7 linked regions of the Oryctolagus cuniculus genome follow. The protein of the gene in region 4 interacts with the protein of the main gene of each other region in a pairwise test. Links are inferred from orthologs where the notes say so. Each region holds a gene or a part of one and is shown on either strand. Other genes may lie near its edges. The genes, in order: ARHGAP32, DTNB, KRT20, ABI2, TRAF3IP1, KIFC3 and KIAA1217.

Region 1 (4,184 bases), on a different chromosome or scaffold from region 4:
CTACTTGTGAGTTACAGATATAGTAGTATTTGGCTCCATGGGAGGCATAACACTCATAATATTGTCATCTTTCATTAGGTTCAAGGTATAGTTCCAGCTCCAGAGAGGCCACCTGAACCCCGAGCTCTGGATGAGCCTACACCTGTCTTTGTCAGTGATGGTAGTACTGCTGCCCAGTGTCCCATGGCTACCGCTGCTCTCCAGCCAGGCCTGCCTGAGAAAGTGCGGGACAGCGCCAGGGCCCCACTGCTGCACCTGCGAGCCGAGTCTGTCCCCGTGCACTCCTGTGGCTTTGCTGCACCCGTACCCCCTGCCAGGACGGCAGAGAGTAAGCTCGCTGCTGTCATGCACTCCAACAGTGCTGATGCCACCAGCAGTCCAAATTACCACTCCTTTGTCACTTCTTCATCGGCCTCTGTAGATGACGGGATGCCTTTGCCACCTCCTGTGCTACAGCCTAAGCATGCTGCTCAGAAAATAGTGTACTCCTCCTCCTTCGCTAGGCCTGATGTCACCACCGAACCCTTTGGTCCGGAAAACTGTTTGCATTTCAGTATGACTCCAAACTGCCAGTACCGTCCCCAGAGTGTACCTCCACATCACAATAAAGTGGAGCAACACCAAGTGTATGGTGCCAGATCAGAGCCACCAGCCTCTGTGGGGCCTCGTTACAACACCTATGTGGCCCCAGGAAGAAACGCATCTGTACACCACTCCAAGCCATGCAGCCGGGTCGAGTATGTGTCGAGCTCTTCTGTTAGGAGTACTTGTTACCCTGAAGATATTCCACCATACCCTACCATCCGGAGGGTCCAGTCTCTCCACGCACCCCCATCTTCCATGATTCGCTCTGTTCCCATTTCACGGACAGAGGTTCCCCCAGATGATGAGCCAGCCTACTGCCCCAGACCCCTGTACCAGTATAAGCCATACCAGTCTTCCCAGGCCCGCTCAGATTATCACGTAACTCAGCTTCAGCCTTACTTTGAGAACGGACGGGTCCACTACCGGTATAGCCCCTATTCCAGTTCTGCTGCTGGCTCCTACTACAGTCCAGACGGGGCCCTGTGTGATGTGGATGCCTACAGCACAGTGCAGCTGAGACCCCTCCACCGCCTACCCACTCGCGATTTTGCTTTCTACAATCCTAGGCTGCAAGGGAAGAGCCTGTACGGTTATGCTGGGTTGCCTCCTCGTCCACGGGCCAACATGACCGGCTATTTCTCCAGCAATGACCATCATGTAGTCAACATGCCGCCAGCTGCTGATGTAAAGCACACCTATGCCTCTTGGGATCTTGAAGACATGGAAAAGTACCGCATGCAGTCCATCCGGAGAGAGAGCCGTGCTCGGCAGAAGGTGAAAGGGCCTGTCATGTCGCAGTATGATAACATGACTCCAGCTGTGCAAGATGACCTGGGTGGGATCTACGTCATCCATCTGCGCAGCAAGTCAGATCCTGGGAAAACTGGACTTCTTTCGGTGGCAGAGGGCAAGGAGGGGCGGCGCCCAGCCAAGGTCATCAGTCCCGAGGGAGATGACCGCTTCTACAGGAAGCACACAGAGCCAGAGTTAGACAGAACCCACAGCCACGCAGGCTATGGCAGCGCGCAGGGAGAGAAACCCTCTCTCCCACAGAAGCAGAGCAGCCTGAGGAGCAGGAAGCTTCACGACATGGGTTGCAGCCTCCCTGAGCACAGGGCACATCAGGAAGCAAGCCACAGGCAGTTATGTGAGTCGAAAAATGGGGCTCCTTTCCTGCAGGGAGCTGGACAGTTAGATTACGGGCCCAAAGGAATTCCAGACACGTCGGAGCCAGGGAGCTACCATAACTCTGCAGGGAAACATGGCCCACCCGGTCCGGAGTCTCTGAGACTGAACCACAAGGAGGTGAGGCTTCCCAAAGAGCTGGAGCGGCCTCGAGCCAGGCAGCCTCCGGCCTCAGAGAAACACCCCAGAGACTGCTACAAGGAGGAAGAGCACTTCACGCAGTCCACGGTCCCACCTCCTAAACCCGAGAGGAGTCACAGCCTCAAACTCCATCACACCCAGAACGTGGAGAGGGACCCCAGTGTGCTGTACCCATACCAAACACATGGCAAGCGCCAGAGCAATATGACTGTCATGTCCCAGTATGACAACCTGGAGGATTACCACTCCCTGCCTCAGCACCAGAGGGGGGGCTTTGGAGGGGGAGGTCTGGGGACGTACGTGCCCCCTGGCTTTCCCCATCCACAGAGCAGGACATATGCGACAGCTTTGGGCCAGGGGGCCTTCCTGCCCACAGAGCTGGCCTTGCAGCATCCTGAAACACAGGTCCACGCAGAATGAGCCCTGGGAGCAATAGAGTTGAAGCAGTCTCTGCTGGACAGTGGACTGGTCTATTTTTTTCAATAACCAAAAAGATTAAAAAACAAAACAAAAAAAAACAAAAAACAAAAAAAAATGCTACAACCCCCTGGTCACATTTAAAAAACATAATAAAAGTAAACAAATCAGCATCTCCCCCCCCCCCACTTCCCTGCCTCATTACCACCTCTTCCATCTATAGACTGTATCATTTTTGTCTTTTAAAAGCGAGCTGAATGATTGTAAAGCATTGTGTTGGAAACTGAGTGAAAACTTTGTCAGAGACCACACTTGCCACATAGGGCTAATTTGTAAGAGCCTGAGGGCTGCCTATAGCTGAATTTGAACCTAACTCTCTCTTGGCTTCTTAGTCTTTGCTAGCAAGTCCAGAGCAGTTTGCATCTGTTTCCTGGTGGGCTCGGGCACTTACTGTTGTGTTCCCCCTTCTGCAGCTACACAGCTTGCCCAGTGGGATGCTCCACTCTTCTCCTTCATTAGCCCTGGCTGAGAAGGGGCTTGTGTGTTAGATGAGAGTGGGAGGAAGCTCTTTGGTCCTTCAGATCAATCAGTCAGACTATTAGAAGCATTACGGTAAAAAGGAAGGCCATCTTTAAATTAAACATACTCAAGAGTCATCATAAAACGTGGGACCGTTCGACTCAGGCTGAACTGTATGTTCTTCCCAGTCTTTCTTTTCATGCTTGTTCCTCACAGTTCAAGAACAGGCTCGTGCCACTGCAGAAAGGTTATTTTGTTTGTTTGTTTGTTTAAGTTAGAATTTAAGGAAACTTCTTAGGTGGGAGAAAGTGAAGCTCGCATTGTCATTGCACTGTGTTAGCACCAGAAAGCTGTTGTCAGTGCTTTGAATGCCTTGCCTGTCTTCAGGGGTTTCATGCTCAACAATGTTTGGTAAATGAGAATCTCAATGCAAATATTTCAAACCCCATTTGTTCTCCTAAATTAGCAGCTTGTTTTTTTTTTTTCTTTAATTAAAAAAAATCAACATGGTTTGGATAAACCTGCATTATTTATCTTGGCCGTAAATTTACATGTTAAATTTTGTTTCTGAGCCAGGATACAGGATCCCTGGGAATGTAGCTGTGTTGTCTGTTAGGAAACTGCTAGTTCCCGCAATAACCACTTCTACACAGCCCCTCTTCAGTGGTTGGCTTTCCCAGGCAACTGCCATTTATGTCCCGAGCAGGTACATAGACTTCACTTCCTCTGGGCTTCTGAGATCAGTCTTAACATAACTGTCATTACACCAGCATTTCAGGTACAGCTCTTTATAACTTCGTGGACATGTGACTCTGTTTTGAAAGCTTCATTCCTTATTATAGTAAGAAAAGGACACCTCTCTAGCTCAACTCCATTCTGTTTCCTGAGTCCACCTTGCCACAGATACACCAGGCTAGACCAGCAAGGCAGTCCTGAATTTACAATCTAAGGTTAGGTTATCATTTCATTCCATAACTCTTAATAATACTTGAGTTTTATACATTCATACATTTTAAATACTCACTTTATAGAAGACACTAGGAGATTTCATTCCATTTAATGGATGGTTGCTGCTCTGGCTTTTTAGAACTTGGAATTAACTTTTATTTAGGGCAAAGGAAGAAAATTTTTAAGAGGCTAAAATCATGCTGCTATTGTTGCGAAAAAGTCATTACATTATAAGAATTTATATTTAGTAAAAGAAAAAGTTTTAAGAACAACACAATTTGTATCTGGAAGTACTCTATAAGGTCTTCTTTTGTTTCCCAGAGTTAATTGGAGGGCTGAAATAAAGACCATGGTAGCACTCTTGAGACGGTGATAAGGGACAAGGTCTG
Region 2 (4,184 bases), on a different chromosome or scaffold from region 4:
CCGGCCTCCGCCTGTGCCTACTGAATCCGCGCTGGTGTTTAGATCTTTCCAGCTTAGCTGAGCACTTTCAGCCAGCCCAGTTCCAACAACACCTGCACTCACAGATGACAGTGTTTTGCTTCTGAGATACAAAGAGTCACTCGTGCCCGAGCTGAGACGAGGGAAAGAAGGCAGGGCATCTACTGCTGGTGGCCCAGGGTTAGCCTCTGCTCGCCACAGCAGCAGGGCTTCCCACTTCCTCCTGAGACCACGCTCATATCCCAAATGTGCGACACTCAGCCACAGAGCAACCAGATCTCAGCCCAGCGAAACACCGAAACAAAAGTGCATTTTAATAACAGAACAGGAATCTCAGTACCTCTAATGGTTTTCATCTACACAGTTTATGACTTACTTATTGATGACTTAAATGTAAACAACAGAATATCTATGGAAAGAAATAATCTCCATTTTACAGGAAAAGTTGTGGTGGAGGGGCTAACTGACCTAAGCCACACTAACCAGACAAACAATGATAAAAAAGGGTACTTGCTGTGTGGAATCCCCGATGACAGCACAGTGCAAACCAACTGTGGACTGTCAAATGCTACAACCTAGGCAGAAAGGACCTATACGGTAATGGAAACCCAGAGATCTGCTGAGACCACTAAATCATTCAAATCACTAAACCTGGTTTCCACAGAGTCCACCAAAGAGTCCACACGTGTCTTTCTGGGGACGACAAGAAGTGGGACCCTAATGTGGGGTGAGCTCACGCTCCTGCAAAGACTTCCTCAGCCCCTCTGCAAGTTGTCCTGATCCTACCTCCTTAGCTTCTTGGTCCCTGGGACACACACGGTCTTGGTGCGGGGGGTTCCCCTTTAACCCCTGTCTCAGAGGATGAGCCTGGGTGGCCGTGCCTGTGGCGTGCCACGGGAACACACCAGGGTGCTTCAAGAAGTTCATGGAAGACCAGAACTCAGAGACAGGCTTATCTTAGTGCAAAAGAATTTTGAAATCCACGCATAGCTCCCCCCCCCCACCCCCCATTGCCCTGGAATGTTCTGAAGATTCTTTGTAGGCACGGATTTATTTATTTATTTTTTGGTTGCACCAATACAAAGTTAACTGAACATTTCCCCCTGCTTTGTGAAGCAACGTGGTACTGCTGGGAAAGGGAACCATCATCCCCCCAGGGCCTCTCCCGACAGCCTCCTTCAAGCCACTCCCTGGGGCTACAGTCGCGCCGCGGACGCCCGGCTCACCTCAGCAGCCGCAGCTCGGCCAGCAGCGTGGGGTTCTGCTGCGCCTTCTCAGGCGTGGGCTGCGACGCCTGCTCGTGCTCCAGGCGCAGGCGCTGGATCTCCTGCAGGATCTCCCTGCGGGGCGGGACGAGGGCCGGCTGCTCAGCGCGGGGCGTCCACACAGAGCCTCACCCCGCCAGGTCCTGCCGGCTTCCCCGCGGCGGGAGCGTGGCTAAGACCGCATCCCCCAGCTCTTCCCGCAACGCACCCACCCGTCGGTGGTAGGAAAAGTCCTAGGGACGTCTCCACAGGCGGCGAAGGACCCCCGCGGACCCTCTCCCGGGAAGGGGGCGGAGAACCCGGCGGCGCCTCCGGACAAGGGGCCCAGGCCCACTTCTTTCTCCCACCCCGGTACTCTGTCTGCTGTGTGTCTGCTCCCCGTGTCCTTAAATGGCTTGGTAAAAAACAAAACTTTCTGAGGAGACACTGGGCGGTCACGTGGAGCGCCATGGGCCTGGACAGGCCGAGCCGAGCACCCGGACCAAAATGCTGGCGGGAAGTCGGGAAGAAGGATCGGGAGCGGGACCACCGGGAGCCAGGAGGCGGCCTGGGGAAAAGAACCCAACTGAGGGGCAGGGGAGCGGGGCTTTGGGGCCGGAACTGGGCCAGCCTCTATCCACTGCGAGGAAAGGGGAGCCCGGTGTCATGGGCAGTCCTGGGCCTGCGGCTCGGCCTGGCCCCAGCGCTTACCTGTTCTTGTTTTCCAGTTCTGCGATGAGCTGTCTTTGTTGTTTGTTGGCATCAAAGTTGAAGCTCAGGTCCGTGGGAGGTCGAGTCTGAAGTGGGGAGAGAGCTGTGGTTGGTCCCCATTCACATATCCCAACGACCCATTCTGAAGGAGAGTACACCCGAGAAATACCCACGTGTTGAAGAGTGCAGGTCAGCGAGTCTTGTCGCTGCAGCGATTTCCACGCTCCCCACCCCACAGAGACCCCCTTGGCATCAGTGATTTCTAATGTCCCCCACCCCAGAGACCCCCCCGGCCGGTCTGCCGTCTCCTGCCCCCACCCTGACCTCCAACTGCCGCTTTATCTGCGTTCTGTCTGGCTCTGCCTTTTCTAGAAACTTCACGTAGCACAATCACACAACAGGTAGTCTTTGGTTTCAGAGGCTGAGCCGGCAGCCCCTTCCTTCCCACTGCTGGGACGTGTCCCGCTGTGTCCGGCTCTGGGCTGTGACGAGCCAGGCTGCTGTGAGCTCTCATTTGCAAGGCCGCGTGCCAATTCCCAGGGGTGCGATCACTGACGTCTGCGGTGACTCTACCTGACCTCTGAGAAACCGCTGAACCCGAACGTGGCAAAGTGGCCGCACAAACCCAGCGTCCCATGTGCGCTGCCACCTCACCAACACTGGTTACTGTCCTCATTTTCACCATCCTTGTGGGGGTGATGGTCATACATGTGAGTTTTTGTAAAAACGGAACTATCACTTACATACCATTAAACTCACTCTTCTAACACGTACGCTTGAGTGGTCTGTAGTGGATTTATGAGGTTGTGAAACTATCACACTAATTCCAGGATATTTCCCCCACCCACAGTGACCATTAGCAGCAGTCACTCCCCAACTCCTCTCCCTCTCCCCCTCACACCATACTTTCTGGATTTGCCTATTCTGGGCATTTTACTTAAATGGAATGAGACACTATGTGACCTTTTTTTTTAAAAACATATTTATTTGAAAAGCAGAGTTACAGAGTGATAAGGAGAGACAGAGGTCTTCCATCTGCTTGCTCACCCACCAGATGGCCACAACAGCCAGGGCTGGGCCAGGCCAAGGCCAAAAGTTTCATCCAGGTCTTCTACTTGGATGCAGAGGCTCAAGCCCTTGGGTCATCTTCCACTGCTTTTCCTTTTGCATTAGCAGGAAGCTGGATTGGAAATGGAGCAGCCAGGACAGGAACTGGTGCCCGCATGGGATGCCAGGGTCACAGGCGGCAGCTTAACCCACTGCACCACAACGCCGGCCCCCATTATGTGACCTTTTATGTCTTGCTTCTTTCACTTAGCAGAATGTTTTCAAGGTTGATCCACATTGTAGCATGTATCAATACTTTATTCCTTTTTATGGCTGAATACTATTCTGCTATTTAGATATATACCATATTTTACTAATCCTTTCAATAGTTAATAGATATTTGGGTTGCTATGTTAAGTAATGCTATGAACACTTAGGTAGACAGTTATGTTTGGGTTTTTTGTTTTTTTTTTTTCCCTTGGGTATATATGTAGGAGTGGATTTGCTGGGTCAGATGGTAATTGCTTTTTGAGAAACTGCCAAACTGTTTTCCGAAGTGGCTGCATTACTTTACCTTCCCATGACAGCACATGATGGCTGCAGATTTCCCACATCCTCGCCAACACTTGTGCTGTCCGTCTCTTGACCATAATCGTCCTTGTGGGTGTGAAGTGACAGCTCACTGTGGATTCTATTTATATTTCCCTAACGACTGACACAGTGAGTGAACGTTCACGTGCTCACGGCTGTCTGTGCATCTCCTCGGGAGAAATCATGTGGCTGTGCTTTGCATATCCACTTGCTCTGATCCGGGAATCGGTTAACACGGCATGCAGGAAGGAATGACTGGCTGGGTGACGTTTCCTTCCGCTACCCAAAAGAGAGCTCTCAGCGAGGGCTCGGCGAGGACCACACTTCATCCTGCACATTTTCAGTTCTGCCTGAAACATGATCTACCATGAAGCAGAAGGCACGGTTCCTGTGTAGAGCTGGAAGATTCAACAAGCAGTTCTTCCCGTGGGGCATTTTCTGAATACACAGGGCCGAAACAGCATAGGAAATCTAGGTGGAAGCTTTTTACCAAGCTACCAAATATTTGAGAGGCAGGCAGAGAAAGCTCCCATCCACTGGTTAACTCCTCAGTGCCCACAGTGGCCGGGGCTG
Region 3 (4,184 bases), on a different chromosome or scaffold from region 4:
CACTTCTTACACCAAGTCCCTAAATAACAAAGCCCTCTTTTTCTTGTGCTCACAGAAAGAATCTCTGGAGCACACCCTAGAGGAGACCAAAGCTCGTTACGGTAACCAGCTGGCCACTATTCAGGGCCTGCTAAGCTCTCTGGAGGCCCAGCTGATGCAGGTTCGCAGTGACACAGAACGCCAGAACAATGAATACAACGCCCTTCTCGACATAAAGACTCGTCTTGAGCAGGAAATTGCTACTTACCGCCTGCTTCTGGAAGGAGAAGATGTAAAGTAAGGATCATTAACATGGGCTGTGTGTATCAATGTCTAGATACTGTCCTATTTTACTGTCCTTGCTACCCATGACCCAATGCAATCCCTAACACAAAAGCAATTATACACATACCACTCACAACAACAAAAGTACACCAAAAAGTACACACACACCCAAAACACCAAATATGGCCTTTGTACCTGAGGTTATGTGGTAGGGCTAAGTTAGAAGATGGCTATCCAAATGATACCAATTGTGTTAAGGCCAGTTTTTGTGATTAAAGTATAATTTAAAGCAAAGTTACTTTTTTGAAAAATTCTTATTCCGAGCTCACAAATTAAATAAGAGACCACAGAGGTCCACAGGAACCAGCTGGAGAATCGTGAGTATTGCTGAAGAAGCTGTCTCGCAAAGATCACACCCAAGAACAACAACAGGAGAACACAAAATTTAAACTTCCATTATGAATTTGCTATTTTAATTACAAAAACTTCTAGCATTTGTCAACCGGGTCAATTCTGAAGCTATTCATTTTTCAAGTTAAAAAGCAAGACACTCAAATAAGTCAGTTGCAATTAGAGTGGAGGGCAGGCATTTGGCACGGCAGTTACGATGCCACGTAGGACACCTGCACCCCATGCTGGAGGGCTGGATTTGAGTCCCAGCTCTGCTTCCAATTCCAGCTCCCTGCTAATGTGTACCCTGCGAGGCATCAGATGATGACTCAAGTACTCAGTCACTGCCATACACATGGGAGACCTGGATGGAGTTCTGAGCTCCTGGCTTCAGCCTGGCCAGTCCCAGCTGTTGTGGGCATTTGGAGTTAAACCAGTGAATGGAAGATCTCTCTCTCTCTCTCTCTCTCTCTCTCTCCCTCTCACCCTCTCACCCTCTCACCCTCTCACCCTCTCACTCTCTCACTCTCTCCGCCTGTTAAATACACAAAAATATTTTTTAAAAGAGTAAGACATTCAAGTTGTAAATAACAAGCATTACCAAAGGGAAAGAACATGAAAACCCACATCACTCACTTTGCTTTGAAACACAAAATGGCAATGTATTCCTTAGCTTCTTGTTGTTCTAACTAAACTACATGAGAGACGCTTCCTAAGAAGAAAGAAGGTTTGCTTCTGCTTCCTTTGGAGGTTCACAGCCCAAGACCAGGTGGCCCCTTAGGTGTAGGCATCTGGGGAGGCTGGAGGGTGGCAGAGAGTATCACATGGAGAGCAGGAAGCAGAGATGGAGGGCACACACATGGAGACTATCCCCAGGTGGGCTCTCCTGATAATGCCATCACAGGGCTCCTCTGTAGCAACTTGATCCAATCCAATCAGTTCCTGAAGGCCCCTCCCCCACCACAACCCACCAACCATTAACCCATTAACCATAAACTTAAGACTTTGGGGTTTGACATTAGGCATTAGTTTGGGGAAACCAAATCCCATTCAAACTGTAACAGACAATAACGCTTTTTTTTGTTTCTTTTTTTTTTTTTAAAGCAACCTGGAAGAGAGAGGTAAGATTTCCAAATTTTTGCACATTTTCTGTAACATTGGAATTTCAGTAGCCTTCTGTTAACTGTCACTGGAGGAAAGTAGGGTGGCCAGTTCTCAAGTGAGCAGATGAGACCCCAGGGATTCTGAAAGTCTCGCGCACAGCATTACAGTTTCATGGGGGAGTTCTGACAGGCTGCCCATAACAGGGCAGTGCTCTTGACCTGTGCTAATGCTGTCCTAAAGCTTCCTGAGACTCTGAAAAGAGAAAAAAAAATCAAACGTGGGAATTTTGCTTAATTCAAGATACCATATTTCTATGTAGGCACGGGAAATGAAGGAAATTTGCAAATTAGAGAAGAGGGGACCACTGGCTGCACTTGTTTATAAAACGAACTTCAGGCAGGCGCTGTAATAGGCTAATCCTCTGCCTGCAGCGCCGGCACACCAGGTTCTAGTCCTGGTCGGGGCGCCGATTCTGTCCTGGTTGCTCCTCTTCCAGGCCAGCTCTCTGCTGTGGCCAGGGAGTACAGTGGAGGATGGCCCAAGTGCTTGAGCCCTGCACCCCATGGGAGACCAGGAGAAGCACCTGGCTCCTGGCTTCAGATCAGCGCAGTGCGCCGGCCTCAGCGCGCCGGTTGCAGCGGCCATTGGAGGGTGAACCAACGGAAAAGGAAGACCTTTCTCTCTGTCTCTCTCTCACTGTCCACTCTGCCTGTAAAAAAAAAAAAAAAAAAAAAAAAAGAAGAACTTAAAATTGTTGAAGAAAGAAAATGAGTTCAACATTTTCTCCTAAAAGAAGGAAATGAGGACAAAAATAATCGTTTAAATTAGCATATTGTAAGTCAGCAGAGTCATGTCCCAAAGCTAACATTTAATGTGTAATGTGTATTCAGATAAAAAGAAAACCAGGAAGATCAAGACAGTTGTGGAAGAAGTAGTGGACGGCAAGGTTGTGTCATCTGAAATCAAAGAGGTGGAAGAATCCATCTGAACAGCTACCGGCAGGAGACGCTGCTGAGGCTTCCAGGGAAGTGCAGCTATAATTGTTGCTCCCTACAATAAAACGGCCACCCAGAAGCACTATTAACACCTTGGAGTAATCAGAAACGGCGGTGGGGGGGGGGGGGGTCCTATTAGTCAATCTCTGTAATTGAATATAAATGTTTCACTCAGAGGGGATGGAAATCGCCTACGAACATGAGATTTAATGAGCACTGGAATATTTAAAGTGTTGTTACTGTCATCTGCATTGTGAAATGTATTAGTTACAAGCTACAGACCACAAAAATCAATGTGTAGGTAACAGTGCTGAAAATTACAGTAGCTTTCAATTATGCTGAATCTGACAAAGCAGAGGAATCTATACCAATGGCAAATCAGCTTCTCTCTTCTCTTTTCCTGTTTCTAAATTGTAAAACCTCCCCTTGGGAGCCCCTGGAGTCTTCATGGAGCTGTTTCTGGTCAGTCCCACTGAAGTTTTAACATCCGTACAGTTCCACAATTCTGCAACCTTTGAGCCACGGCTGCTTTTTCCCACTGCCTCTACTGCCTTTTAAAACTCAAGTTGGTTCTGTGAATAATCTGAGTCAAATTCCAATCACAAATACCGAGCAGAATAAGAATGAAATCTGCCATGCTTGAAATGGGAGTAGATTAAAATCAAAACTACTGAAACGCTTCTCGAGGCAGAATGCATCTCCTTTTGACAATAAACTGTGTAAATCATCAGGTGCTCTCTTTCTTTACAGAGTAAGCACACATCATGAAACGTTTCCCGCCATTTTTTGTGACAGCTTTATTGAGAGGTAACGCGTACAATTCAGTGGTCTTCAGTGTGTTCTCAAGGTTGTGCAGCCATCGCCATTATCTAATTTTAGAACATTTGCGTCATCTCTGCCACCCAAAAAAAGCCCCCACACGTTAGCAGTCACCCCCAGCACCTCACCAACCTCACGGATCTCCCCCTCTCTATGGGTTTGCCTGTTCTGGATATTTCATATAAATGGAATCGAAGACTGCATCTTTTCATAATTTTATTCATTTATTTGAGAGGCAGAGCTACAGAGAGGGAGAGACAGAAAGAAAGGTCTTTCATCGACTAGAATTCCATCTAAATGGCTGCAATGGCTGGGGCTGGGCCAGCCTGAAGCCAGGACCTTCTTCTGGGTCTCCCACATGGGTGCAGGGGCCCAAGCACCTGGGTCATCCTCCTCTGCTTTCCCAGGCCATCAGCAGAGACCTGGATCTGAAGAGGAGAAGTGGGGACAAGAACATTAGATGCTGGCACCACAGGCGGAGGCTCAGCCCACTAGCCACAGTGCCCGGCCCAGACTGTGTGCTTTTGGACACAGCACTCACTGGAGCATGGTTCATAATGACCTCAGTAGTAACAGCCATCAGCTGATGAGTGGAAAAACAAAAAGTGGCTT
Region 4 (4,184 bases):
CGGAGGATTAGCCTAGTGAGCGTGGCGCCGGCCAATATATGCTTTTTTATTATTTATTTTATTATTATTAATTTGACAGAGTTACAGAGAGAGAGAGAGAGAGAGAGAAGTCTTCCTTCCATTGGTTCACTCCCCAAATGGCCGATCCGAAGCCAGGAGCCAGGTGCTTCTCCTGGTCTCCCATGGGGTGCAGGGCCCAAGCACTTGGGCCATCCTCCACTGCACTCCCTGGCCACAGCAGAGAGCTGGCCTGGAAGAGGGGCAACCGGGACAGAATCCGGCGCCCATATGGGATGCCGGTGCCCGCAGGTGGAGGATTAACCGAGTGAGCCACGGCGCCGGCCCCAGCAATATATGCTTTAACCATGGATAGATGGAGATGGAGGTTTCCCTGGACAGAGTTCTGGATGATACCAGAAAGGTGCAGGAGGCAGAGGGGCTGGCGTAGACTAGAACTCCACAGGGGCATCTGAGCGAGCTCTCAGGTGTCGCAGTTAAAACGAGCGGGATAAATGTGATGTTAGGAAGCAGAGATGGTCCGAGGGCGGGGTTGAAAGGCCCGGTCACCAAGTGATGGGAGCCGTGCGGATCACAGGGGAGCTCGGAGGAGTGCTGGCTTTCTTACACTTTGACACTGTTCCTGTGGACACATACAGCTGGTGACAAAATGGAGCACCTTTTGAAAGAACGTATCTACAGGTGGACTCCCCTCCTCCAAGCATCGTGGGAATTCGGTCTGTTGTCAGTCGCCTCGTAGGTGAATTCACCGCACTGTAGAATCTCAGTGCTGGAAGGCCTGCATTTTTCTTCCCCAGCGTGGAGCTGCAGCGCAAGCTCAAGTGAAGAGGTAGCCGTCTTCCTGGTTCTGAGGTCGTCTTCAAGGAGGCGCTTTCGCCTCTGTGTGGAAGGGTGAAGCTGACAACTGCCATCTGTACCGTGCAGAGCCTCCCCTCGGTAGGAAAGGGGATTGCGTGGTGTCAGACTGGGTACCAGGGAGAAAAGTGTACAAACTGTGGTCTTGTTTAGAAAGTCAGGCTGTTACAGAGATGCAGATGACAAGGAAGAACGGTTATCTGCATGTTTGGTTTTCTCTAAGAATAGTGACTTTTTATATCCTGTTTTTTCTCCCTTAGTTGTGGCAATTTATGATTACACAAAAGACAAGGAGGATGAGCTGTCCTTCCAGGAAGGAGCCATCATCTACGTCATCAAGAAGAATGACGACGGCTGGTACGAGGGCGTGATGAATGGAGTGACTGGGCTCTTCCCGGGCAACTACGTGGAGTCCATCATGCATTATTCCGAGTGACGCGCGGGGGGCTGTGCGGCCCTCGCAGGAACAGTCAGGTCTCCCCGGAGTACTCATGGCCCGGGGCGCCCCTTCCAAACAGAACGAAGGATACAAACGATAAAACGGCTTTTTTTTTTTTTTTTTTTAATCCCCGAGTATTGAAAACAAAAAAGCCAACTCTGAGCAGACGGGTCTTTCTGCAGTGATTGGTGCCACGCTGAGCTGTCGAGTGATGCGCCGTGACCGGTTCCGAGGTGGCAAAGCTGGAACCGCCTAACCGTGCAGCTGAGCACATCAGAGTGACTGATTCGGGACACTGTCTGGGATCGTTCTCAGGAATACTGGACACCCTCGATTCCTCCTCCCACAAAACCCGTGGCATTGGGTGTTCTCTGCCTGTGCTAAGGGGTTGGCTTCATGCCCAGTGGGTACTGGTGCCCGCACTTCCTTCCGCTTGGAGGAGGAGGAGGAAGTCGATACTTACACTCCCCGGTAACCATGGTTCCGTTGGCTCAGCAGCCTTGTTCCTCCTGGACACTGTAAATTCCGCATCCTCAACACCTGAGTGCGCCCAGCGAGTTGACCTTGAACGCACTTGTATCCCTTGTTCCCCAGTGTGTAGATGACAGGATGCTGCTCTGGGAGTCTGCAGACATGGCGGGGTGGGTAAGGACTGCACGGTGTGATGTACCACGCTGCCGGGAAGCAGCTGGGGTGGGGGCGGTTCCCGGGGAGGCGGTGGGAGGGTCCGAGAGCAAGCTGCTGCCTGGCCTCGAGGGCATCCCAAACCCTTGCCTGAGGTGCAGTTCTGTGGGGCCCTCCTTTTCCCTACATAGAAAGACCCTGTTCCCAGCCTCCTCCTGGCCACCCTGGGGCGCTGGGAGAGGGAGCCTCACCGTGATGGGACCCTGAGGGGCTTCTCAGCCCCAAGCCCATCTCACACTCAGAGCATCCTAGCTGGAGAGCAGCAACAGGCCTCAATGCTGACCCCCTCGCTAATTTAGAAGCAGTAACAAAAGAATTTTACTCCCATCTGTTCAGCTGTTAGGGTTCTACATGGAGTGGAGTTTGCAGGCCAGTGGCTTCCTTCGTCACACTTGCTGTCCCCTGAGTACTGGGAACCCCCGGCAAGGCACGCAGTGCAGGCAGGAACTTGAGTGCAAATGAGCAGGCAGAAGTCATGTTCTGTTGCACATCGCTGTGCAACAGACCCAGCTGTAGAGATTCCTGATCAAGACTTTGTGAAGTTATAATTAAGAAGAAAGGTAACTGGGCTTAACCATTTTGCTTCCTGATTTCCCCAGACTGGTCTTAGCTTTACTAACTTGCCTCCAGTCCACATTCCACTTCGTGCTTTTCTTGAGTCATCTTGATGTCCCTTAGTGTTCCTTCACAGTCAGTGCCGCGGGGCCTTCAACGCCATCGGACACCCAAACCAGACTGCGTGTGCATCGGGTAAACCCTGCTTAGTGCCGGCGTGCAGCTGGACAGACAGCTTTGAAATGACATCTTCCAGCTATATTTTTGAGTAGTTTCTTTGCTGAGAGCATTTTGTGGTTTAAGGTGTTTTGAAATCCAACAAGTAGCTCCCGGCTCCCCACCAGAGGAGACCCCTGTGCAGAAGCTGTAACGCGCGCACCTGCTGGACCCTTGCTGGATGGGAGTGTGCCAGATACTCGGTGAAGGCCTCTCTATATTTAACATCTGCGGTGGCAGGAGTCCACGACTTAGCCAGTATTTTCTATATTATTTGGTACTGTTGTGTGTGTGTGACTTTTGTTTAACAAATGATATTTGTTGGATTTTCTGCCCACTTTTTTTGTACAGTTCTGAATTCTATAGATTGTCTCAGAAGGATATAATGTAATGATGGGCCAGGCCTGCATTGGAGACTTTTAATGTATGTAATATTTCATAGATTGCATGCTATTAATAGTCTGTGAGGGTAATATTTCCTGTTGTGTTTCCCCCTTTATCTTCCTGTAAACTAAAAGATGGTATTAGGAATTCCAAATGAATGCAGAAAAATCTTACATGCTTTTAATAATTACAGCGAGGATGATCCAAGTCGCAGATCTGCTGAACAGCAAGCAACCATTTGTAAGGATAGAATCTGATGGGAAAAAGATTCTTCCCTCTGAAGTTCATTTAGACTGTGGTCATCTCATTATTACAATTTTTTTAAAAAGTCACTGCATAATGGTTTTTTTTTTTTTTTTGGTGTTAATATTCCAGAGTTGGTGGAGATATGAATGAAAACGCACTGTTTTTGTTTTTGACCTTATGGCCAAGACAATAAATTGGAAACAAAGTACCAGTGCATCAAAATCCAGACCTGAGAAATCCAGACTAATGTGTTTGGAATAAATACTAATCTGCTAAGACGTCTCGGTCCGTATTTTCTGTCTCTCGGCCTTTTTCCTTTCTCCCTCAGTAGCGCTTGCTGCTCTCACCTTAGGGCTGCGAAGAACTTGCTAACTCCGCTGTGTTGCTGAGTCACTGGGGATGAGCCCTTCTCATCCTCTCCTCTCCCTCCTCCGACTGTTTGGTCCCGGCGAGAGCAGCTGTTGTGTACATCTCCCCAGCACTGTGTGTAGCGTGGCTGTGCCACATAGCTGTGCTTTGTGTTGAGTAAATTGATTTTTCTGTTTGGGAGGCATCAAAATACAGTTTGCTGTGATCTTGGTTTCCACTTGAGTTTAGCAGGTGCCATTTCTGCACCTCTAGGAGCTACTTCCCCTTCTGTCACCTTCTCCTCCGTGGGCATTGCCAGGTCCTGAGGTCCACCGTTACGTGTGCAGAGGGTTTGCTGCAGGAATGGCCAGGTGACTGCCAGTCTTTGAGAAGAATGGGGCCTGTTCACGTCTGAACAACTTTGGCTAGGAACTCCCCA
Region 5 (4,184 bases), about 35 Mb from region 4:
CCAGACAGGGAGGTGGACATAGCAGAGTGCGGGTCAGAACTTGGTCTGCTGCCTCCCCAGGCGGGACCTGACCTGACGCGACACTCGCACTGGGGCCCGGGGAGGGTCTCGCAGCCCCTCACACCTGCACAGTGCTCGCTCTGTGCTGCGACGATGCTGCCACTTCAGACGCACAGCTGTGCAGGGCCCCAGCCGGAGTCACCAGGAGACAGAAACCGGACTTCTGTGCTGACGGGGAAACAGTCACTCTGCCACGTCCCAAATATTTTCAAACAAAACCATCCCTCCTACGCAGTCTAACACATCCCCAGACACCAGCCAGTAAGACGTTCTCCTTGGACCCTCCTCTTAACTAGAACACAAGTCCCAGCCTCGGCAACTTCAGTGAAGGTGAAGGTAGCACGGAGCCCGGCCAGCAGGCCCAGAGCCCATCGGGGCTGTCAGTCAGCATCTCGGGGCTCTCAGGAGAGGCGAAAGCCGGGAGTCTCTGTGACGTCCAGAACTCACCCGCAGAGCAGGCTTCGCCACGCGTCCCGGGGGGAGCGCTCTCGGCACGTGCCCAAGCAGGAAGACACGCAGCCTGAGGCTCCCAGCACAGCACTACACCGCCAATGACAAAGCCACAGCAGTCTGTGCAGACAGCACCCCCTCTCGCTGTGACCCACAGACCCCGCAGAGAAGGCCAGCTGACGGGATTCCACGGGGTCAGCCCCCAGACACGGCTGAGACGCCTGGCAGGAGAGGGCCTCGGTCAGCTCACGCCTTGCCCCCCCCCCCTTTTTTTGACAGGCAGAGTGGACAGTGAGAGAGAGAGACAGAGAGAAAGGTCTTCCTTTTGCTGTTGGTTCACCCTCCAATGGCCACTGCAGCCGGCGCACTGCGGCTGGTGGACCACGCTGATCCGAAGCCAGGAGCCAGGTGCTTCTCCTGGTCTCCCCATGGGGTGCAAGGCCCAAGCACCTGGGCCACCCTCCACTGCACTCCCTGGCCACAGCAGAGAGCTGGCCTGGAAGAGGGGCAACTGGGACAGAATCCAGTGCCCCAACCAGGACTAGAACCCGGGGTGCCGGCGCCGCAGGCAGAGGACTAGCCTAGTGAGCCGCGGCGCCGGCCACGCCCTGCCCTTGCCCTTGGCCCACCTGCACCACAGGTCTCAAACCCTTCCTCCATTCCAGCCAGGGGAGCCCAGGAGGGGCCACCGCCCTCCCACGAGGCTTGACGAGGCCGCGTCCCTGCCTGAGTGGGCGTCTGAGAAAACAGCCCTGCCGCTCATGGGTGCTTCAAGTCATTCATGAAAATAGACTTAGAGATACATCTATTTAGGGACCAAAAATTCTGAAAGTATCTTTTAATTGCATTTTTCCATAAAACGTTTGAATTCCTCTCCTAAACAATGAGTCTAAAAGAAACCTGCATGTCTGGAAAACACCGCTGGAAACCAAAAGAACCTTCTAGGCAAACCTGAATTTACTCAAAAATCTAACGAAATAAGAACTACCGTAGACGTATGCACTTCTCTGCTGACGCCTCGAAGCCTTCCAAGACAATCCCTGGAGAGCTCAATGACACCCGTGCTCCCAACGACAGCGGCACACAACGGAGACCAGGAGTCAGTGCGGCTCACAAAGCTAAGGTGCACGCTGCCTCGTGGCCTGCAGACAAACTCCCAAGGGGCTAGATGCAGGACAAACACGGGGAAACGTGGGCAAACGACCTCAAACTCAGAAAAATGCGGCTCTGTCTACACGTCTGGTGGACGATCACCGAACTCTAAACTGCAAGCACTGGAGACTTCCTCCTCCAAGCACCGCCCAGTCCCCCGGGATGGACCTTCCATACACACATCTCACAGCCGCCACCAAGCAGCCACCTCCACCCAGCGCTTCCTGATCCGAAAGTCCATCGTCATCCCACGCCTGGACTCCCAGGGCGCCCGTGGGCCAGACACTGACCAGGCTGGGACCCAAAGCACACACAAGACAAAGAAGCCGCCGGCTGAGGCTCTTACGGAGCTCGGCTTCCTGCAGAATCCCTGCTGGGTGTGAGGTAGAGCTGAAAGCTTGGTGGGCATTGCCTAAAACCTCCACTACCACATGGCGCCTGGCGGATGTTCGGATGTTCGAGGGGCGTGTCTGCGGCTGCCGCGGTTAAGCTATATAAGATCAGACCACCGGCAGGGATAGGTCCGCTTTAGTTCCGGACACGTGGACAGTGCGCGATCCCTATACTTTGCTTAAGGTGCCCGTGTGTGGTCCACCGTGCCTGCGTGACCTTTTCTCTGGCTCCCTACCACGCATGTCCTCCGTAAGCTTTACAAGCCTGCACGCTTCCTCAATAGGGCGGGTCCTGCTTCCACAGAACCCACGGTGCTGTGGTGTGTTCTTGACCCACCGACCTCACCCCTCCCGTTTGCCTTGCTGGGGAGTGCCTGTACTGCCCCTGCTGGTCAGCGGCCAGCCTCGGCCTTGGGACTCCGACAACAGCTTACTGACTCATGCCTCAATGAAACGATTAGACAACCACCAGCCGGGGACAGAGACAACAACACTGTCGCACGTCTGCACCTCCGTCGGAGGTCATGACTGCCACGTTCCCAGCTGGCGAAACTGAACACCAGGTCCCAGCACCAGGCCAGGACGCACGGCAGAGAACACGGCACAGAGAGGGGAGGGGTCTGCAAGCAGATCTCACCTTCTTCTCCAGCTTATCCTGCTCTCGGCTCTTCTCCCGGTTGGGGTCCCTGGAGTGCTCCCCGTTCCTCACCCTCCGCTGGTCCCTGTCCTTCCCCTTGTCCCGGTCCCTGCCCCTGAGTCTCTCCTTTTCCCTCGCTGCCTCGCTCCTCCGCTCCCTGTCCCGCTCGGCGTCTCTGTCCCGCTCCTGCCTGGCCCTGGCCCTGGCCTTCTCTCGCTCCCCGTCTCTGCGCCGGTCTCTCTCGGGCTCTCTGCGTCCGTCTCTCTCGGGCTCTCTGCGCCCGTCTCTCTCGGGCTCTCTGGGCTTCTCTTGCTCCTTGTCCTTTTCCCTCGGTTTGCTGTCTTCTTTTAATTCTTCTTTCTGTTTTCGATCTCTGCTTGGGCTTCTCTCTTTTATTTCAGAGTTTCTCCTGTCCTAAAAAAGAACATATATCTCATTTACGAGGCTTTCCCCAAACTACAGAGAGGCGATCTTACTTCCAAGGTGCGCGACTCGCGACTCACCTCTTTCTCCTTGTGGCCTCTGGGCTCCTCTTCTCTCACATGCTTATTGTCCGACTCCTGAGGCCGTGAGGTCAGGGAGACCCTTCCCTTCACATCCCCCTTCTCCCCAGACAGAACTCTCTTCACTGCGTCCTCACTGGAGAGCTGGTGTGTCCACATGTCAGAAAACAAAAGGTGAAATGAGCACATGTAGCAAACGAGGGGCTCGGCATTCAAGGAGAGTTCAATGAACAGGCGTCTGCCGCCACGGGCACGAACAGGGTAACTCGTGAAAGGAAGTGCTGTTCTCACAGCCAAAGCACAGCACCTCGCAGGACCATGCCAGCCCTTGTGGGGAGCAGCCCGGACTGGACTGAGTTACTGGAATTAAGACTTATTCTATGCATCTGCTCTCCCACAATATGGCGCTGGGAGAGAAGTAAACAGCTTCTGCACAGCTGCCTCCAGTTCAACCAATAAACTGTAGGACTTGCTCCTGATTGGAGAGCAGCGTACTCGGCGTGTGGGCAGCCGAGTTGGGATTGGCGGAGGAGGACTATAAAGGAGGAGAGAGACGGCATGCACCAGGGAACATCTAAGGGGAACATCTAGCTGAGGGAACACCCGTGCAGCCCCCGAGAAGAGCCGGCCGGCGGTGTGCCGCTCCCCTGCGGAAGTGGGGAATGCGGCCAGGGGGAACTGCCCTTCCACGGAGGTGGAAGGGATAGTAGCCAACCCGGGAAGAACCAGCAGCAAACCCGGGGAGGGCCGAGCAGACGAAAGAACAGCGCAGGGTCCTGTGTCATTCCTCCACGAAGAAGGGGAGCGACATAATGGTGCCGAAACCCGGGAAGGGCCGAGCAGACGAAAGAACAGCGCAGGGTCCTGTGTCGTTCCTCCACGAAGAGGGGGAGCGACATAATGGTGCCGTGACTCGGATTAGGAAACCTAGGCCGGATAGGAAACTTAGGAGGGAAGAAACGGGAAGAACTGGGAAAATACCGGAGAGAG
Region 6 (4,808 bases), on a different chromosome or scaffold from region 4:
GACATCCGTAAGGACGGATGGGCACCTCTCCAGACAGGACCTGAGAGAGGGTGCGCAGTGCACATTTAGGCTGGGGGTTTTTAAGGGGATGGGTCTTGCCTTCCCGCCTCTTCTCCTTCTCCTCCTCCTGGAACAAAGGACTTATTGGATGTAAATACAAAAAATTCCTTTCTGAGTTTCCCCCCTGAAGCTATCAGACAGGGGAAGCCTGTGGTTAGAGGAGGGACGGTTATCTGGTTATCCCGGGGTAGAAGGGGCAGGGCCCCCTGGAAGGTGGGGGCAGGGTGTCTGAAGTGCAGATACTGGGCCGCACCTGGAAGGTTGTCGGGATGACTTTGAGATGCGGATGCTGGACCTGGATGTCTATGCCTTAGGCCTTTGTCACACACACACAAGCTCATTTCTGACTTCTTACCTAATAGGCTTAGCCAATCAATGCACCCCTAGCGTATCAGGAGGTGCTTGGTGCTGTGAAGAAACCAGTGAACTCGGAGCATAGGAAGAGCCTTAGGGAGAGCTGGGGTGTTGGTGGAAGATGAAGGGGTGGGTGGGGCCCTAATTTAAATGAGGCAGTCAGGGTGAGGCTCCTCAAGGACAAGGTATCTGAGGTTAGAGTCTCCAGGGGGGAGGCACAGCCAGTGCAAAGGTCCTGGGGGCAGCTGGTGGGTCTTAGGAGCAGAGCAGAAGAAGATGGCGGCGGGGTTTTGGAGCACAGACATCGGGAGACCTTGGCTTTGAAAACCTTGCTGGGATGCAGTGTGCTTGGGCTTTGGTTTTCACAGGGTCGGTCTGGCCGTGGAGTTGAGTACCAGGGGCGGAGGGTTGGGGCTAGGGCAGGCATCCAGGCCGTGATGGTGGGAGTGGCACGTTGCAAGGCAGAGCCCCAAGGGTTGAAGCTGACAGATGTGGGGCACGTCCCAGGGTGAGAGTTAAAGGTGCCAGCGGGTTTCCCTCTGCATCTCTGGGGGGACGCGGTGGGGCAACGATTCTGAGAGCCCCTCAGTGTCACTGCTGCGAGCTGGGGCGTGGAAGGAAGCAGACGTGGGGGTGGCTGAGCAGGGCCGAGGTGCAGCCTTGAATGTGAAAACCCCCACTCAGATCCCAGCACGGCCCTGACCACGCGCACAGAGGCAGCACGGGCTTGTCCCGGGGGACAGCCCCCCACTTGCTGTCGTCCCGTCCTTTTCTCTATGGCTAGCGTGGGGTCAGTGCAAACCCCTGATGCCTTTCTTCTTCCGATTTTCATTAGAAAGTACGCAGGCTTGTTCTGAGCTGGGGGACATTTCCCAACCACCGGCTCACCTTGCTGCCCGTGGTCGGGGGAGCTTGTTCCAGGACCAGTGCTCTCTTCCTTGGTAGCCTCTGTTGTGGTTCAGCAGATCCTTCCAACTCAGGTCTCTTGGTCCTAAGACTGTTGGCTGAAGTTGCTCTTAGCCGGGTCTGGAAGGCCAAGGGTGCGACAGGATTTTGAGAGAATGAGAACTCGGAGACAGACTTGGACATCTCTGGTTCTCCCCTGGGTGTCAGGGGCCTGGTTAGCTTTATTCTCCCCGCCTGCCTCTTACACCCTGTGTTGTAATAATTCTAATTCTTCTCAAGCCTCCATGGGCTGCAGAAAACTGGCTAGGAAACTCACTCAGGGTCACATTATGAGACCCTCACTTACGACCTGGGTTAGTCCCTCCCTGGGAGCTGACGCTGAAGGAGCTGCTGTCCCCAAAGCCTTTTAATTGCTGAGCCAAAGGCTGAATGCCCGCCTTGTTCAAGGCCAGAGCCACTGCTTGGTCCAACGAGGAATTGTTGAACCAAGCAGAAAATTCCAGGGCACGGGCTGCTGTCTGTTCCGGCATCGAATACCATGCTCTACAGCGGGTCAGAGCGAGCGGGGCTGGGTGCTGCCATGTTTGTGGTTCCAGCCCTGGTGTGGCTGGGCTGGATCAGCTGGGCCCGGCCGAGGGGGCAGAGAGAAGAGAGGGAGACAGAGCCCAGCCCTGGCCGGGAGCAGGCTCCTGGCTGGCGCTGGTCTGGCCCTGGTGTCTCCAATGAAGATGGTCTTGCCAAGCTCCAGGCCCCCTCCCCAGGAGGCATCCCGGCCACACAGACCCAGCGACCCTACCTACAGGTAAGGAACAAAAGGAAGACTTTGAAGCACACCTTGCCCTGGGTGGGGGCGGGGCTCATGTGGCCTCTAGTTTAGGGGCTGGCGTATGGCTGTTCTCCCCTAGGTCCTTCCCATCTATATAAAGCTCATCAGAGTTAGATCTTCCTAGCATTTTTTTTTTTTTTGACAGGCAGAGTGGATAGTGAGAGAGAGAGACAAAGAAAGGTCTTCCTTTGCTGTTGGTTCCCCCTCCAATGGCCGCCGCGGCCAGTGCGCTGCGGCCGATGCACCGCGCTGATCCGAAGGCAGGAGCCAGGTACTCATCCTGGTCTCCCATGGGGTGCAGGGCCCAAGCACTTGGGCCATCCTCCACTGCACTCCCAGGCCACAGCAGAGAGCTGGCCTGGAAGAGGGGCAACCGGGACAGAATCCGGCGCCCCGATCGAGACTAGAACCCGGTGTGTCGGCGCTGCAAGGCGGAGGATTAGCCTACAGAGCTGCGGCGCCGGCCGTTTCTAGCATTTTATACGCTCAGAAGCACCTGCAGACCGCTGACCCACAGAGACCAGGTTTTTCTGCCGATGACACGGCCAGGGCCAAGTTCAGGACCCAGCTGTGTTGCTTGCTGTGTTGGGCCAGAAGCAAGCATTTCGATGGCTCTGTTCCTCAGTTTCCTCCTGTGTACAACGGCACAGTAACGAGCGGCATGCAGTGAGGAGCGGAGTATTGGCAATCGGCACTCGTGAGGGTGACTGTGGGAGAAATCCTGGTAGAGCGGGGTTGGGTCTCTACACGTGGCCCAGGATTCCCTAGAACCCTGGTATCTGGAACGTTTTACCCCGGCTTGCCTGTGAGACAGTCTCTGAAATTCTTTCTAACGCAGCTCCTGGCACAACAGAAGTGTTCCATGGCATTCATTCAGAGGGATTTGAAAACAGTTGTGTAGTCTGGGGGGAGGCTCCTGGCTCTGCCCAAGGCCGGTTAGATGATTTTTTAAAACAAATTTATCAGTGCCGGCGCTGTGGCATAGCAAGTAAAGCCGGGTGCCTGTTCGAGTTCCAGCTGCTCCACTTCCGATCCGGCTCTCTGCTATGGCCTGGGAAAGCAGCGGAAGATGGCCCAAGTGCTTGGGTCCCTGCACCTACATGGGAGACCAGGAGGAAGCTCCAGGCTCCTGGCTTCAGATTAGCCCAGCTCTGGCTGTTGTGGCCATCTGGGGTGGGAACCAGTAGATGGAAGACCTCTCTCTGTGTGTCTTTGCCTCTGCCTCTCTCTAACTCTGCCTTTCAAATAAATAGGTAAAACTTAAATAAAACACAACAAATTTATCTGAAAGCAGAGTTAAGAGGTGGGGGGGTGCGGGGGGCAGGGAGAGATCTTCCACCTGCTGGTTCACCAAGTGGCTGCAAAGATCAAGGCTGGGTCAAGCTGAAGTGCAGCCCGGAGCCAGGAGCTCCATCTGGGTCTCCCACGCGGATACAGGGGCTCAAGCACTTGGGCCATCTTCCACCACTTTTCCCAGGTGCATTAGCAGGGAACTGGATCAGAAACAGAGCAGCTAAGGCTTGAACCAGCACCTATACTGGGTGATGGCATTGCAGGCAGTGGCTTAACACCCTGTGCCGCAATGCTGGCCCGTGGTTTCATGATCTTGGGCAAGTACAAAACATCTGCTCGACCTCAGTTTTGGGGCTCCTTAAAATGGGGCTACAGCCTTGCCTCCTCACTAGGTTGTTAGGATGAACAGATAGTGAGAAGGGCTTTGGCTAAATGCTCAAGTTCCCAGCGCGCCTGGACAGCGTTACCGAGATACCGTTGAGTTGTTTTGTTGCTGTGGGTTCTTGTGGATCAAAAGGCAGCGCCTGGGACGGGGCTGGGTGTGAGGTTTTGAGTGATGCCTGCTGTGTGGCAGCCGCTTGCATGTATTATTTACAAGCTTGCTGTCCGGCTCCACTTGATGGATTGATGCCTTCACTCCATAAATATGCATTGAATGTTTGCTCTGGCCCAGGTCTGTCCCTGGCACGGGGGATCTGACCCTGAACAGTCCAGGAGGCTTCTGCCCCCTTGCAGTTTGCATTCCTAGTCCGGGAGGCAGACAGAAAACAAGAGAAGTTCAGTGATAAGTACAATGAGGGATTAAAACCCAGGGAGGTGGGAGTGGTCAGGGAAGACCTCTTGGAGGAAGTGACATTTTGAGACGCAAGGGTAGATGGGAGAGACTGTTTGCAGAGGGGATAAGGGGGTTGATTGGGGAAGGTGGTAAAGACCCCGAAATGGGAGCGAGGCTGGCCTGAGAGACCCCTGTGGCTGGAGAGGCGAGAGCAGGGGCAGAGCCGGCAGTGGAGGCCCATGAGCAGATGGCACAGGATCTCGCGGACAGGGTAAGGAACCGGGACTTTGTGCTAGTGTGACAGGGAAGCCGGGGGGGGGGGGGGGGTTGCGCCAGGGCACTTCCAGAAATTCACGTGGTACCCAATCCTGCGGCGAGGGATTCTGGTGTGCTGGGGGAGCCGAATTTAATGAAGACAGACACACCTGATAGGCCAGGCATGTATCGAGGAAAAACCAAGAAGCGTGTCTGTTCAGGCTGGAGTTGGTGTGGATAGGGGTTCGGGCCCCCCATCTTTCCTCCCTTCCTCCCTCCTCTGGGACCCTGCTGGGAGGAGGGCTTCCTGGGCGTGGGGGTTCCTGAAACTCCTCCTGG
Region 7 (4,184 bases), on a different chromosome or scaffold from region 4:
CAGGCGGGAGGGGCCGGGGCCCGAGGAGCCCGTCGTGTGCCTGGACAGGAAGCCCGTCATCATCATCTTCGACGAGCCCATGGACATCCGCTCTGCCTACAAGAGGCTGTCCACCATTTTCGAGGAATGCGACGAGGAGTTGGAGAGAATGATGACAGAGGAGAAGATAGAGGAGGAGGAAGAGGAGGAGAATGGGGACCCCGTCCAGAGCAGTTCCGCCCCCGGGCCTGCCTCCACGGTGGCCTCAGGCACTCTGGGGACAGCACAGCCCGCCGAGAGCCCGTTCCCGCTGCCCTCGCCGCTGGTGGCAGGGAGCAGGGCCCCCAGGAAAGCCGACCTGAACGAGTCGGGCCCGGGAGACGCTCTGAGTCCCGAGGGCAGGGGCGATGCAGCCGACGAGCAGTTTGACAGCCCCAAGAAGAAGTTCAAATTCAAGTTCCCCAAAAAGCAGCTGGCCGCGCTCACGCAGGCGATCCGCACCGGCACCAGAACAGGGAAGAAGACGCTGCAGGTGGTGGTGTACGAGGAGGAGGAGGAAGACGGCACCCTGAAGCAGCACAAGGAAGCCCGGCGCTTCGAAATCCCCAGCTCGCAGCCCGAGGGGGCGCTCGAGGGCCCGGCCCAGAGCTCACGGACCGAGGAGATCCGGAAGAACACCTACCGGACCTTGGACAGCCTGGAGCAGACCATCAAACAGCTGGAAAACACCATCAGCGAGATGAGCCCCCGAGCCCTCGCCGACTCCGCCCACGCGGCCCACGGGCCCCCTCCCCACACCCTGCTAGTGCGGGATGACGTGCCCACTGCCCCAGAGCCCCCCACGCCAGTACCGCCAGCTCCGCGTAAGGTACCGTGGTCTGGCGTGGAGCGAAGCGGCAGCCGCTTTCCTAAATCTGCCAATAATTGCCCTTAGCAGAAGGTGTCTGGTGATTCAGTCGCTTCCTAGCGGGCAGCTCGCGTGGTTGTGGGTGCTGGTGCTGGTGTTGTCTGTGCGCCGCGAGGCCCCGTCTGTCCTGCTGTCTCCCCACCTGCCAGTCCAGCGGCCTTAGGTGTCTAACAGCTAATCGAGTGTGTGTGCACCTGCGGCTGAGCGGTGTCGGGGACACGCCAGGGTGCTGGGTCCGCCGTGTGCTGTGGAGATGGACGATTGCTCTGGTACTCACATTAAAATCCGTTGGATCAGTAGTGAGCGGTGGATTCTGTCTGGTTCTTCCGATTAACCCCAGTCGGTGTCTCCTCCGTCTCTCCTGCATGCCGGGCGGGGGCTCTGCACCTCGGGCTTCTCAGCACACAGTAGGGCAGCCTCCGGGACAAGGCGCTCATACTCTCCCCTTCCCCCGTCTCGCCGCTCTTTCCCGCAGGGCTCCGGCGGGACCCCCCAGACCAGCAGAATGCCAGTGCCCCTGACTTCCAAGAGCAGACCCGGGAGCCTGGACAAAGCCGGCAAGCCGTCCAAGCTGCAGGACCCGCGCCAGTACCGCCAGGTAGTTTTGCCTTAACCCCCAACTTGGACGGACACTATCGCGGTTCAGCAAGCCGTAGCGTAGAGCAGTGCGGCCGGCGGCCGGCGGGCTCGGGTGGGCACGAGGCAGGGCTAGCAGCCGCTGTTGGAGCCCTCTCCACGCTCTTGCACGCTCGCGACGAGACAGCCTTGACGTTGGCGACTCCACGTTTTAACTGTGCGCGCGCTGCCAGGCCCGCTGGCTTTGCCCTGAGCGTGCGACCAGGACACCAGGGAGAGACAAGCCCAGCTGTGCGCACGCGGCCCTCGGTCCCACACTAACGTCCTTGAGTCAGCAGCGCCTTAACTCTGCCGGGGGGGTGGGGGGCGCCGGTTCTCGGCTCCCTGTGCTGTGCACCTGGGGGGAGGGGGCTCTGGCAGGTGCACGGCACAGACAGCTCAGGCCTGGACACGGTGGTGGTGTGTCTGTGAGTGGCTCCCGGGCGGGCCGTGCTGTCCCTGTGAGGGGCTCGCGGCCGGCTTCTGACCCTGTCTCCCCCTCCCCCGCCGTCTCTGTTTGCAGGCCAATGGAAGTGCTAAGAAAGCTGGTGGGGACTTTAAGCCTACCTCTCCCTCCTTGCCTGCCTCTAAGATCCCTGCCCTGTCCCCCAGCTCTGGGAAAAGCGGTTCTCTCCCCTCTAGCGGTGACGGCTCCAGCCTCCCTAACGCGCCCGCTCCTAAGCCATCGGCCGCTTCTAACCCTCTCAGCCCCTCCGCAGGACGGCCCGCCCCCGCCGCCTCCCTCATCCCCTCCGCCTCTAACGGCGCCTCCAAGTTGGCGCACGCAGGGAAAGGCCAGCACCTGCCGCTGCCCCCGCAGACTCACAACGGCCGCGCCGCCCCTCCCGCGCCCTCCGCCTCCCCCGCCTCCCCCCCCTCCCTGAGTCACGGCGCCAAGGGCGCCCGGACGCTGCTGGGCCCTGGCCTTGCCGGCTACAAGGCGCAGAACGGAGGTTCCAGCAAGACCGCGCCCGTCGCCGCCAAGGAGAGCGCCTAGTCCGGGGCGCCGGGCCGGGAGCACGGAGCCCGCAGCCGCCGCCCGCCTCTCCACCCGGTCGCTGTCGTGATTCCGCGTGTTGCCCGTCCGTGCCAGTGCCCCCGTGAAGTGAGCGTGTGTCTGTCGCCGGGGAGGGTGAGGCGCAGGTGCGTGCGTGCGTGCGTGCGTGCGAGAGAGACCCGAAGACGCGCGCCAGGCGTGTGAAGCAGCGTGAAGCCGGCATCGCGCGTGTTTTGTATGAAACTATGTTTCCCATCGGAGACTGGAAGCCATCAGAGGTGCCCGAGTGTGACTATACAAAGCGTGAAACAGTCTACGGAAGTTCCTTTTATTTTAGTGTTAGAGCTTTATTACAGATTTCTATTTTTGTCAGAACTTCATGGTTCCTTTCGAGATCTTTTTTGCCAAGACATTTTGATACTGGAGCATCGTACACGCACCTGCCCTGCGCTCCACGCCGAGCGGGCGGGCTGCCGTGGGCGCCTTGGAGAGGGCGCTGGGGACGCTGGCCGGGGGCCGTGCGCTCCGCTTGCTGCCCGCTTCCCTCTCGCTTCCTCCCCTCCCCTCCTCCCCCTCCTCCTCTCCCCGTCCCGTCCTCTCCCGCCTCCTGCTCCCTGTCCCCCTCTTCCCCTCTTCCCCCTCCTCCTCTCCCTCTCCCCCTCCTCCCCCTCCCCCGTCCTCTCCCTCCTCCACTCCCCTCCTCCTCTCCCCCTCCCCGTTCTCTCCCTCCTCCTCCTCTCCCTCCTCCCCCTTTCCCTCCTCCCCTCCTCCTCTCCCCCTCCCTGTCCTCTCCCTCCTCCTCCCCCTTCCCCCTCCTTCTCTCCCTCCTCCCCTCCTCCCGCTCCCTCTCCCCCTCCTCCCCCTCCTCCTCCCTCCTCCTCCCTCCTCCTCCCGCTCCCTTTCCCCCTTCTCCCCCTCCCCCCACTCCCTCTCCTCCCCCTCCCCCTCTTCCTCCTCCTCCCCCTCCCCCGTCCTCTCCCTCCTCCACTCCCCTCCCCCTCCTCCTCTCCCCCTCTCCGTCCTCTCCCTCCTCCTCCTCTCCCTCCTCCCCCTTTCCCTCCTCCCCTCCTCCACTCCCCTCCTCCTCTCCCCCTCCCCGTCCTCTCCCTCCTCCTCCTCTCCCTCCTCCCCCTTTCCCTTCTCCCCTCCTCCTCTCCCCCTCCCTGTCCTCTCCCTCCTCCTCCCCCTTCCCCCTCCTTCTCTCCCTCCTCCCGCTCCCTCTCCCCCTCCTCCCCCTCCTCCTCCCTCCTCCTCCCTCCTCCTCCCTTCCCCCTCTCCCTCCTCCCCTCCCACTCTCCCTCCTCCCCTCTCCCTCCTCCCCTCCCCCTCCTCCCCCTCCTCCCCCTCCTTTTTAAACACAGATCCTCTCATCATGGTCTGCAGCATCTAACCCCTTCCTTGGTTTTCCGACACCGAGTCAGCCACGCTCTTGCGTTGTGGATGTGAAATGCGCAGCGTGCGGTGGTGTACGCGATGCCGTTCTGTGACTGTATCCATAGAGACAGAACCCGAGTCCTGTAGGTGCCGGCACGGAGGAGCCCACACCAAAGTGAATTTCTATGCATGCTCGGCAGGGTCGGGCGCCTGGGCAGGAGGAGCCTCTCCAGACGTTTTTAGAAGCACCAAGTTTGCACAGCGCGAGTGTTTTTGTAAATAAGTGAATTTGTACAACAGTCATGTAATATA

Evidence for each region.
Region 1: the proteins of ABI2 (region 4) and ARHGAP32 interact in binary tests that used the Homo sapiens proteins (3 or more experiments, as listed by UniProt). The link is inferred for Oryctolagus cuniculus from reciprocal best matches to the Homo sapiens genes ABI2 and ARHGAP32.
Region 2: the proteins of ABI2 (region 4) and DTNB interact in binary tests that used the Homo sapiens proteins (3 or more experiments, as listed by UniProt). The link is inferred for Oryctolagus cuniculus from reciprocal best matches to the Homo sapiens genes ABI2 and DTNB.
Region 3: the proteins of ABI2 (region 4) and KRT20 interact in binary tests that used the Homo sapiens proteins (3 or more experiments, as listed by UniProt). The link is inferred for Oryctolagus cuniculus from reciprocal best matches to the Homo sapiens genes ABI2 and KRT20.
Region 5: the proteins of ABI2 (region 4) and TRAF3IP1 interact in a two-hybrid assay, tested with the Homo sapiens proteins (2 studies listed by BioGRID and IntAct). The link is inferred for Oryctolagus cuniculus from reciprocal best matches to the Homo sapiens genes ABI2 and TRAF3IP1.
Region 6: the proteins of ABI2 (region 4) and KIFC3 interact in binary tests that used the Homo sapiens proteins (3 or more experiments, as listed by UniProt). The link is inferred for Oryctolagus cuniculus from reciprocal best matches to the Homo sapiens genes ABI2 and KIFC3.
Region 7: the proteins of ABI2 (region 4) and KIAA1217 interact in binary tests that used the Homo sapiens proteins (3 or more experiments, as listed by UniProt). The link is inferred for Oryctolagus cuniculus from reciprocal best matches to the Homo sapiens genes ABI2 and KIAA1217.

Annotation. Positions count from the first base shown.
Region 1 is NC_091432.1:122,591,409-122,595,592, reverse strand, and holds part of ARHGAP32 (rho GTPase-activating protein 32), read left to right. Parts: intron 1-78; coding exon 79-2,331; 3' UTR 2,332-4,184. UniProt on the Homo sapiens protein: GTPase-activating protein (GAP) promoting GTP hydrolysis on RHOA, CDC42 and RAC1 small GTPases. May be involved in the differentiation of neuronal cells during the formation of neurite extensions.
Region 2 is NC_091433.1:177,292,052-177,296,235, reverse strand, and holds part of DTNB (dystrobrevin beta), read right to left. Parts: intron 2,060-4,184; coding exon 1,974-2,059; intron 1,359-1,973; coding exon 1,245-1,358; intron 1-1,244.
Region 3 is NC_091448.1:21,701,282-21,705,465, forward strand, and holds the end of KRT20 (keratin, type I cytoskeletal 20), read left to right. Parts: intron 1-55; coding exon 56-276; intron 277-1,758; coding exon 1,759-1,775; intron 1,776-2,648; coding exon 2,649-2,746; 3' UTR 2,747-3,483; downstream 3,484-4,184. UniProt on the Homo sapiens protein: Plays a significant role in maintaining keratin filament organization in intestinal epithelia. When phosphorylated, plays a role in the secretion of mucin in the small intestine.
Region 4 is NC_091434.1:36,633,962-36,638,145, reverse strand, and holds part of ABI2 (abl interactor 2), read left to right. Parts: intron 1-1,133; coding exon 1,134-1,309; 3' UTR 1,310-4,184. UniProt on the Homo sapiens protein: Regulator of actin cytoskeleton dynamics underlying cell motility and adhesion. Functions as a component of the WAVE complex, which activates actin nucleating machinery Arp2/3 to drive lamellipodia formation.
Region 5 is NC_091434.1:2,080,843-2,085,026, forward strand, and holds part of TRAF3IP1 (TRAF3-interacting protein 1), read right to left. Parts: intron 3,339-4,184; coding exon 3,195-3,338; intron 3,106-3,194; coding exon 2,692-3,105; intron 1-2,691.
Region 6 is NC_091449.1:41,301,072-41,305,879, reverse strand, and holds the start of KIFC3 (kinesin-like protein KIFC3), read left to right. Parts: upstream 1-1,872; 5' UTR 1,873-1,900; coding exon 1,901-2,122; intron 2,123-4,808. UniProt on the Homo sapiens protein: Minus-end microtubule-dependent motor protein. Involved in apically targeted transport. Required for zonula adherens maintenance.
Region 7 is NC_091444.1:105,071,484-105,075,667, reverse strand, and holds part of KIAA1217 (sickle tail protein homolog), read left to right. Parts: coding exon 1-847; intron 848-1,361; coding exon 1,362-1,484; coding exon of another isoform or gene 1,485-1,499; exon of another isoform or gene 1,500-2,024; coding exon 2,025-2,498; 3' UTR 2,499-4,184. UniProt on the Homo sapiens protein: Required for normal development of intervertebral disks.